Oryzias latipes: one gene and its partner. The protein of the gene in region 1 purifies or fractionates together with the protein of each later gene. This does not show direct contact. Links are inferred from orthologs where the notes say so. Each region holds a gene or a part of one and is shown on either strand. Other genes may lie near its edges.

The links. The genes of interacting proteins can lie anywhere in the genome.
Region 2: the proteins of luzp1 (region 1) and dapk3 purify together in Homo sapiens (affinity purification with mass spectrometry; 3 studies listed by BioGRID and IntAct, with this or other methods). This does not show direct contact. The link is inferred for Oryzias latipes from reciprocal best matches to the Homo sapiens genes LUZP1 and DAPK3.

Annotation. Positions count from the first base shown.
Region 1 is NC_019880.2:6,615,471-6,619,120, forward strand, and holds part of luzp1 (leucine zipper protein 1), read left to right. Parts: coding exon 1-1,433; intron 1,434-1,831; coding exon 1,832-2,403; intron 2,404-2,500; coding exon 2,501-2,680; intron 2,681-3,650.
Region 2 is NC_019875.2:30,205,158-30,208,907, forward strand, and holds the start of dapk3 (death-associated protein kinase 3), read right to left. Parts: upstream 2,462-3,750; 5' UTR 2,355-2,461; intron 2,322-2,354; exon of another isoform or gene 1,893-2,321; intron 1,798-1,892; 5' UTR 1,772-1,797; coding exon 1,710-1,771; intron 1,210-1,709; coding exon 849-1,209; intron 626-848; coding exon 496-625; intron 424-495; coding exon 375-423; intron 290-374; coding exon 263-289; intron 180-262; coding exon 27-179; intron 1-26. UniProt on the Homo sapiens protein: Serine/threonine kinase which is involved in the regulation of apoptosis, autophagy, transcription, translation and actin cytoskeleton reorganization. Involved in the regulation of smooth muscle contraction.

The DNA of each region.
Region 1 (3,650 bases):
CCATGAAAAGTTCCAAACAGAACAAAACCGAGCTCGGCAATTGAACGAGCAGTTGGAACAACTGAGGGCGCAGCTCTCAGGGAAAGATGGAAAGGGAGGAAATGGAGTAAGTAGTTTGGATAAAAATAGCAGTGAAAAATCTAAAACTTGCCCCCACAGCCCTGCCAAGGTTCTGGAGAACGGCAAAGCTGAGAATGAGGAGATCATTGTAAAAGGAGGCTTCAGACATGAGAAGCCAAAGTTTAGAAGCGCAGCAGCTGGTTCAGAACCAAGTTCCCCCAGCCGCAAGAACAGGGAGCTCTCTCCTCAGCACAGAAGAGAAACCAAACTAAGAAGCAAAGAGCTCAGCTACTCTGACGGGGGTTCTCCAAAGTCTGCAAGGAGAGCTCTTAGTCCTGCACACAAGTTCCGAAGGACGCCTAAAACCCAAGCTGCTTTGATTTCCTCCAATAATGGACTGAGGGACACATCAAGGGTTCCCGAGGAAAAGACCAGAGGCACCACATACAACTCCGTAAATACAGCTTCTACTGAAATGAAGAAAGTGTCTGTTCTTAGCCGTTACCCCCCAGCAGCAAACGACCAGAAGCCACTGAGGACCGCCCTTAAACAGCCTGATGGGCAGATTAAAAAGAGCAAAGGAAAGTTTTCAAGCTTGAGTGTAGGTAGCGACAGCGAATCAAATAACTCTGATGTGCCGCCGGAAACATCCAGTATCATAAACAGTGATGCTGTGTTTGAGAAAGAATTGGCTTCTGCTTCTGATCACGAGTCTGTTGACCAGGTTCAAGAAACGGTCTCTGGATCTATTGGTTCAGCCAAAACAAATGGATCATACATAGCCTACAGATCTCACCTCACTCCACTGCTGCCCAACGACCAGGGCTCAGAGGGTCATTCTTCTGCTTCTGAAACTGAATCCACAAGTTCAAGGCCTTCAGAACCAGAACCAATCTCTGATGTTGCTCCAACTGTAGGCAGTAGGAATGCAGCCTCCAAATATACCAAATACCCCCATGTTCATGACTCGCATTCCGAGGGATCTTCCTCTCGGAGTTCGTTTGATGAGGAGATGCACAGGACTCAGTATGCTGATGGGGGGCATCAGGGACCCACGCATACCCCCTCTGTGATTGAGATCCAGAGGGTGTACAGCCCAAGAGAAGCTCTCAGGTCAAAGGCCGTCATCAAGCCCGCCATCACTGAGATTGACAGGAAGGAAATTATGATTTCTGAACCTTTATCTACAAACAGCAAACCCAGGATCTCCACCAAGCCAGTTGTGATGAGCACATCCAGTAAAATGACCAGCAGTATAACCTTCTACCCTAACGACCCAAGCTCCTCCAGAACCAGCAGTCGTAGCAGCAGTGTGTCCAGTGAACCGACGGCCCTCAAGGAGCGCCATACGTCTACCAGCAACATCCTCATAGGTGGGTTCAGAACAACATTCAAAGCTTAATTTTAGGAATTTAAGAGCTGATGGGTTTTTACAGCTAATAATTATTCTGGAGCTTTAATACTAACCCACCCCTTGACTTCATGCAGCAGTTAGACTCAGGACTGAGGTAAGAAATGGAGGAGCAGTCGTCCTTTCTTGTGGTTTTTCAATATGTTTTATAATAACATGTAGTGATATACCTTCAAATAACTGTTTAAAAAAATAAGCATAGGGAGTGCAAGTTTAGGTCACTGCGTGCCATAAATACAACTGACAATATCTTGTTAACACAACTGGATAAAGAAAGACTTGTGGTCAAGGATATTTAACTAGAAAATATTCATGTTGATTTGTGTTGTCCTTTTTTTAACATGTTTGATGTTTTGCCAGGTCCCAGCCTTGACCACCATGGCAGTATTTCCATCCCATATGAGATCTCCATACCCAAAAGTGAGATCACCATGCGGTCTTTCCAGGACCAGGACTGTGGGAGCTTCAACCACGGTGATAACTCATCAAGGTCCAAATTCTACAAAGCCTCCATGGTGGAGGCCTCTTCCTCCTCCTCTTCCAGCAGCCTGCGCGGCAGTCTTGGCGCTCAGCCCATAGACAACACGTCTGCAGACGTCAATGATTCAGAATCCGGTTTTGAGAGCAGCAGCAGCACGACTACAGTCACCAGCTGGAGAAGCCAAAGACAAAGCCAGTACTCTCCAGAAGACGGCATACCAGACACAAAGAATGTGACTGTGAGAAGCACCTGGAGAAACAAGGGTGCCACGCCAGGAAACGAGGCAAAAGCCAAAAGAGGAATGTTGGATGACTGGTCTGAAGATGAAGCAGAGGCTTCAACGACATGGAGGGCATACCGTGCAACGACATTTGATGTAGACGAATCCGTAAGCAGCGGAGCAGCAGCTGGTTTGACAGCACAGAAGGTAACCAAGCCATCACCTGCAGAGGTGAGGGGACGTGTGAGCTACTACATTCCTAAAAAACATTGACGCATAAGAGTGAATTTACCAAATATAACATTTTTTGTGTGGTTTCCTGCCCCAGGTGTACATGCGCAGAATCAACAGTGCTGCTACAAACACTAAGGAAGCAGAGGAACCGGCTCTTCGGCGAACCAGGAGCTCACAGTCTCCCACTCTGGAAACTGGAGGCTTGGGAAGGACGGTACCCCACGCACCTGTGACGTCTCAGTCCTGGAGTCGGTCATACTCCCAACAAACACCGGTAGGTGCTCTCCTTATTTACAAAGGACATTCTACAACAGAACTAACAGAAACTCTGTTAGTTAAACAGATACACCTAAAAGGATCAATTTGACCACAATTTAAACAAACTGTCTTATCCAAACTTGAAATTGAAACTGTTTATTTCTTTCCAAATCTATTTGACAAATATGTTTTGATGCTGAAATCCAAAGTGGCAATGCTGTAAAAAAAGCATGTTTTTCATTCAGGATGTCTTTTATATCGAGGATGTCTTATATCTTAAAAGCTCTTACTTTTCTTTCAGGGCTTAAGACTTTTCATTTCTAAAATTATCATTGACAAAGAACTTGGAGGTTCTGAGTTTTTTAAATCGTTATTTGAAACGTACAAAGCCGAGCTCCTGGTGCGTCTAACTTTGCACTGCAGCGTACTTTTTCCTGACGCCAGGCTCTGCGGCTTTAAGCTTAGGGCAGCAGTTCTGCAGACTGGACTCCTGCTGCCCCATTAAGCACAAAAAGAAAAGGGTGGGACACGTGAAAGGAGGGTGGAAATTAAAAAGAACCTCAACAGGGGAAAAGAAGGTCAAGAAAACACCAAGCAGAAAAGAATAGGATTCTTATATTTAAATGTGCCGTTCGCCACATTACAGTGTCCGGCAGCTGCTTGGATTTGCTCAGTTGCTCAATTTTCTGAAGCCAATGCAGATGTGGAAACAATTGATCTCAATGCCTACAAATTCACAGCAGCGTGAAAGTATTGGGGTTGCAGCCTAATGAGGAGGAGTGCAGCTTCTGCGACCACGACAAGAAAGAAGTTAACATAGGAATGGGTACTGTTTGGATTCTATACGGTGCCAAACCGACACTTTTGGAAACAGTTCTGGTGCCTAATTGGTTCTCAAACCGGTGCTTCAAACATGAAAAAATACACAATTTTTTCCCCCAAAAGCATTTACCTGTGATGATACAGCGTGATGTACGCGCAACTCT
Region 2 (3,750 bases), on another chromosome or scaffold:
ACTACAGACACTAGAAACGTGGTTACTTTGGATCCTTGACCAGGAGGCGGCGAATGAAGTCCTTGGCGAGCTCGCTGGTGTTGCTGAAATACTCCTCGTCAAAGTCGTAGTTGACGGCAGAGATGTTGGTCAAAGTCTCCTGCTTGGTCTCGCCCAGAAACGGAGACGCTCCGCTCAACCTAACGCACAAAACCACGTCAGACCCGACCCAGGACGACCCCACCCCACCCCACCCAACGCTGAGACGGGACGGCTGACTCACAGGATGTACGTGATCACGCCGATGCTCCTGCAAAGACAACAGACATGAGTGTGGGCTGGACAGGTGTGCAGCTTCAGGTGAGATGCTGAGGGGGGAGGGGGGGGAGGCTCACCACATGTCCGCCTCCAGGCCGAGCGGCTCGTAGTTGACGATTTCAGGAGCTGCAGACCAGAACGCCGTCATTAGCATCAGATCTGAGGATCGACTCCAGCAGAACCGCCGGAGAAACTCACCCACAAACTCTGGAGTCCCGAAGATGTTCTTGAACTCGTTTCCTGCTTTAATCTGGTGAGCGATCCCAAAGTCGATCAGCTTGATCCTGGGGTTGGGAACGTTCTTGTCCAGCAGCATGATGTTCTCCGGCTGAAAGATAAGATGCAGAACATTTCTGGACTGAAGCCTCACCCAACGACCTTCAAGGTCACAAAACGTCTTTTTATGTGTTTGTGGTGTTCTTAAGGCGGAATGACTCGCTGCCTCCTTAAGGGGGTCAGATTGAGGGTTTTTTTTTTTCTGGTGGCGACTCCGACTTGTAAATCCCTCATGAGAAGCAGCAACAACGTCCTTTTCCCGCCATGCTGCTGACCTTGAGGTCGAAGTGAGCGATGCGTTTGGAGTGCAGGTACTGGACGCCGTCCAGGATCTGCTTCAGGAACTGCGTGGCCTCCTCCTCGGTCAAAGACTCCTTCTCTGCGAGGAAGTCGAAGAGCTCTCCTCCGGACACCAGCTCCAGGATCAGGATCACGTCGGTCTTGTTCTCGAAGATGTCGTGCAGGGTGATGATGTTGCTGTGCTGGATCTCCCGCAGGATGTTGACCTCGCGCTCGATCTCCTCGCGGCTCACCCCCCGCCGGCTGGAGGACAGACGCCGCTTCTTGATGAACTTGGCCGCGTACTCGCCGCCCGTGCTCTTCTCCCTGCACTTACGGACGATGGCGAACTGGCCGCTGTGGAGAAGCAGAGGCGTCAAAACCTCCAACCGCACGTTTGACAAACGCCAAACTTGAACAAAGAGAACATCTGACAGAAATCGGCTTCTTGGTAATAAAATGACAAATTCAAGCCTTTAGGGGAGTTTATTAAAGGTAATGAACAAAAACAGATGATCTGATGCATCAAGAGGAAAATGTGACCAAAAAAGGACAAAAACCAAAAGCAGCAGCTTGCAGAGCGACTGCTCCCCTAATGAATGCTGGAGTCAGCAGTTTTTTGAGCAGAGACGGACTTTTGGACGCAGCAGAGGTAGAAGGGGGCCGTGAGGCGCCACGTCACATTTCTGCTGCATTACTGCACAACATTCACTTCGCTCATTCCCAAGCTGAGCAGCACAGAGGAGCATAAAAACGTTTTACTTTCGCAGATGGATGGTGCTCCAAAAACTGACTCCGGAGACTGCATTTCCCAGAAGGCATTGGCATGACAGGTGACGTTTCACAGACGCTCTTACCTGCCCAGCTCCTCTCCCATCTCATAATGCAGCTCCACGTCCTCCTGCCTGAAGCCAGCCATGCTGCTGACTTCACTGATGATCGTTACTGCCATGGAAACGGGAGAGTCATGTCAGACACCGACAGACAGCCAAAGTGTGTCCATCCGCGAAGGAAACTAACACCCTAACGCCGCCGGTCACCTCCGTTTGGGTCTGAACGCCATATTTGGGCATCGTGAGTTTCTAGACTTTGGGGCTGGTGTCAGCCCTCCACATACCGGCCCTCCTTACATCATCTCCTCCAGCTGCGAGCGGCTCCGTTAAAGGGACATCCACACACAACCGACGAGCGGGTTTCCGGTTAAAAAGAAGCGGCAACACCGGGGATCACCGTTTTTCTACCGGTGATCGGTAGAAAGCCCCACCTCTGTTACAATTTAAGTAAATATGAACACAATTACATTACTGAACTTTTTCACGAATGATCGCAAACAGATGCTTGAATACTGCTAGCCTCCCAGAGCTAGCATAAAAACCCGGTTTAACGGTTTAAAAACTACTGTTCAAGCCAACAGAAGCGCGTTATTGATTCCCAGGCATGTGTTTCCGGTGAGAACGCGAGTATTCAGAAGTATTTCTACTGGAATATAATAAGATACTCACGGGAATACTGCCGAGGAGCGCTGCTTTCATTAAACTGAATCTTCAGCTCGACGAACAGACGGAAAGCTAACAGGAAGCTTCCGGTCTGGCACTTCAAAATAAAGGTCTGTCAAACGACTGACATAAAACATCAATGTTCATGTTATGCTTTTAAATTTGTTTTATTTCTTAAACAGCTTCAATTAAAGTCATTTAAAATAAAATTATACCCCATGTATGTTTAAAAAATAAGCATTGCATTACAAATTGTTTTACTCTTATTTTTTGTTCTGTATTTAGAGCCATTGGCCCTTATTAAGCTTTTAAGTCATGTTTTTGTCATGTGCTATTGTTCATTAGATAAAGAATAAAACACATTTTAAAAAATTAATAAATGGAATTAAAAAAAATTCACTTTACAGGTTTGTCTTTTTCCTTTTTTGCTTTTCCCCAGACCCAGTTCTGATGTTTCCAGTCCATTGTGACGGTAAGGGGAAAGACTCATGCATAGTAAAGGGAAAAGCATTTTCATTACCATACATGGAGGTAATCAGAGCCTCCAGTCAGCAGAAACAACAGAACATATGAATCAATAAAGACATGTATAAATATATCCATGTGTGAATGGACAAATGAATGAATACATTAATAAATTCATGAAAAAAATGAATAAACAAACCTAGATCTGCCATCTAACCTTCATGGAGACAAGCCTCTCTGATTTGGTCACTCATCTGTTTCCAACGACACTATTTTGATTTTTTTTTTTTTTTTTTTTTTTTTCCCGAAGAAAAAAATATTCTCCGTCCACTTAGTCATTACTTTTCATTTCTTTACTAAATTACTAATTTACTAAAGAGCTTTATTTTGAAGTCCCGCTGGTTTGCTTTCCGGTGCGGGTGATGATCTTAACACAGGCAAAAACCTGGCAGAAGGGAGAACATATGGAATGACGTCATCGAGGCTCTGCAGCAGTACGTCAGTACACAAGACTGTACCTGCGGGGTCTGCAGTATGCGTCTAAACTTCAAGGGAATCCACAAAGGGAGACCAACGGCAGCGCATCCCGTTACTAAACATTAAAAACATAGAAGTACAACATCAGAAGCGGGATCGCTCTGGTGAGGCTGAAGAAGGCAACTCTCCACCAAACAACACTATTCTCATACTGAGGAAACGTCTCATGACTCACGTTACTGTCTGCGGATTTGTGCTGGTGACCTCACCTGAGCCTTGCTGCCGCGGGATAAAAATTTAACAGTATTATGAATGACTCATAAAATATCAAGTATCAGCTTACTTCAAATTGTAACCGTTAACCATTTTAACATTGGTTGGTTGCTACACTGTGGAGAGATAAATACTACCGATTATTAATTCGGATTTAAAAAATGTGTTCCACCACATATATAGGATA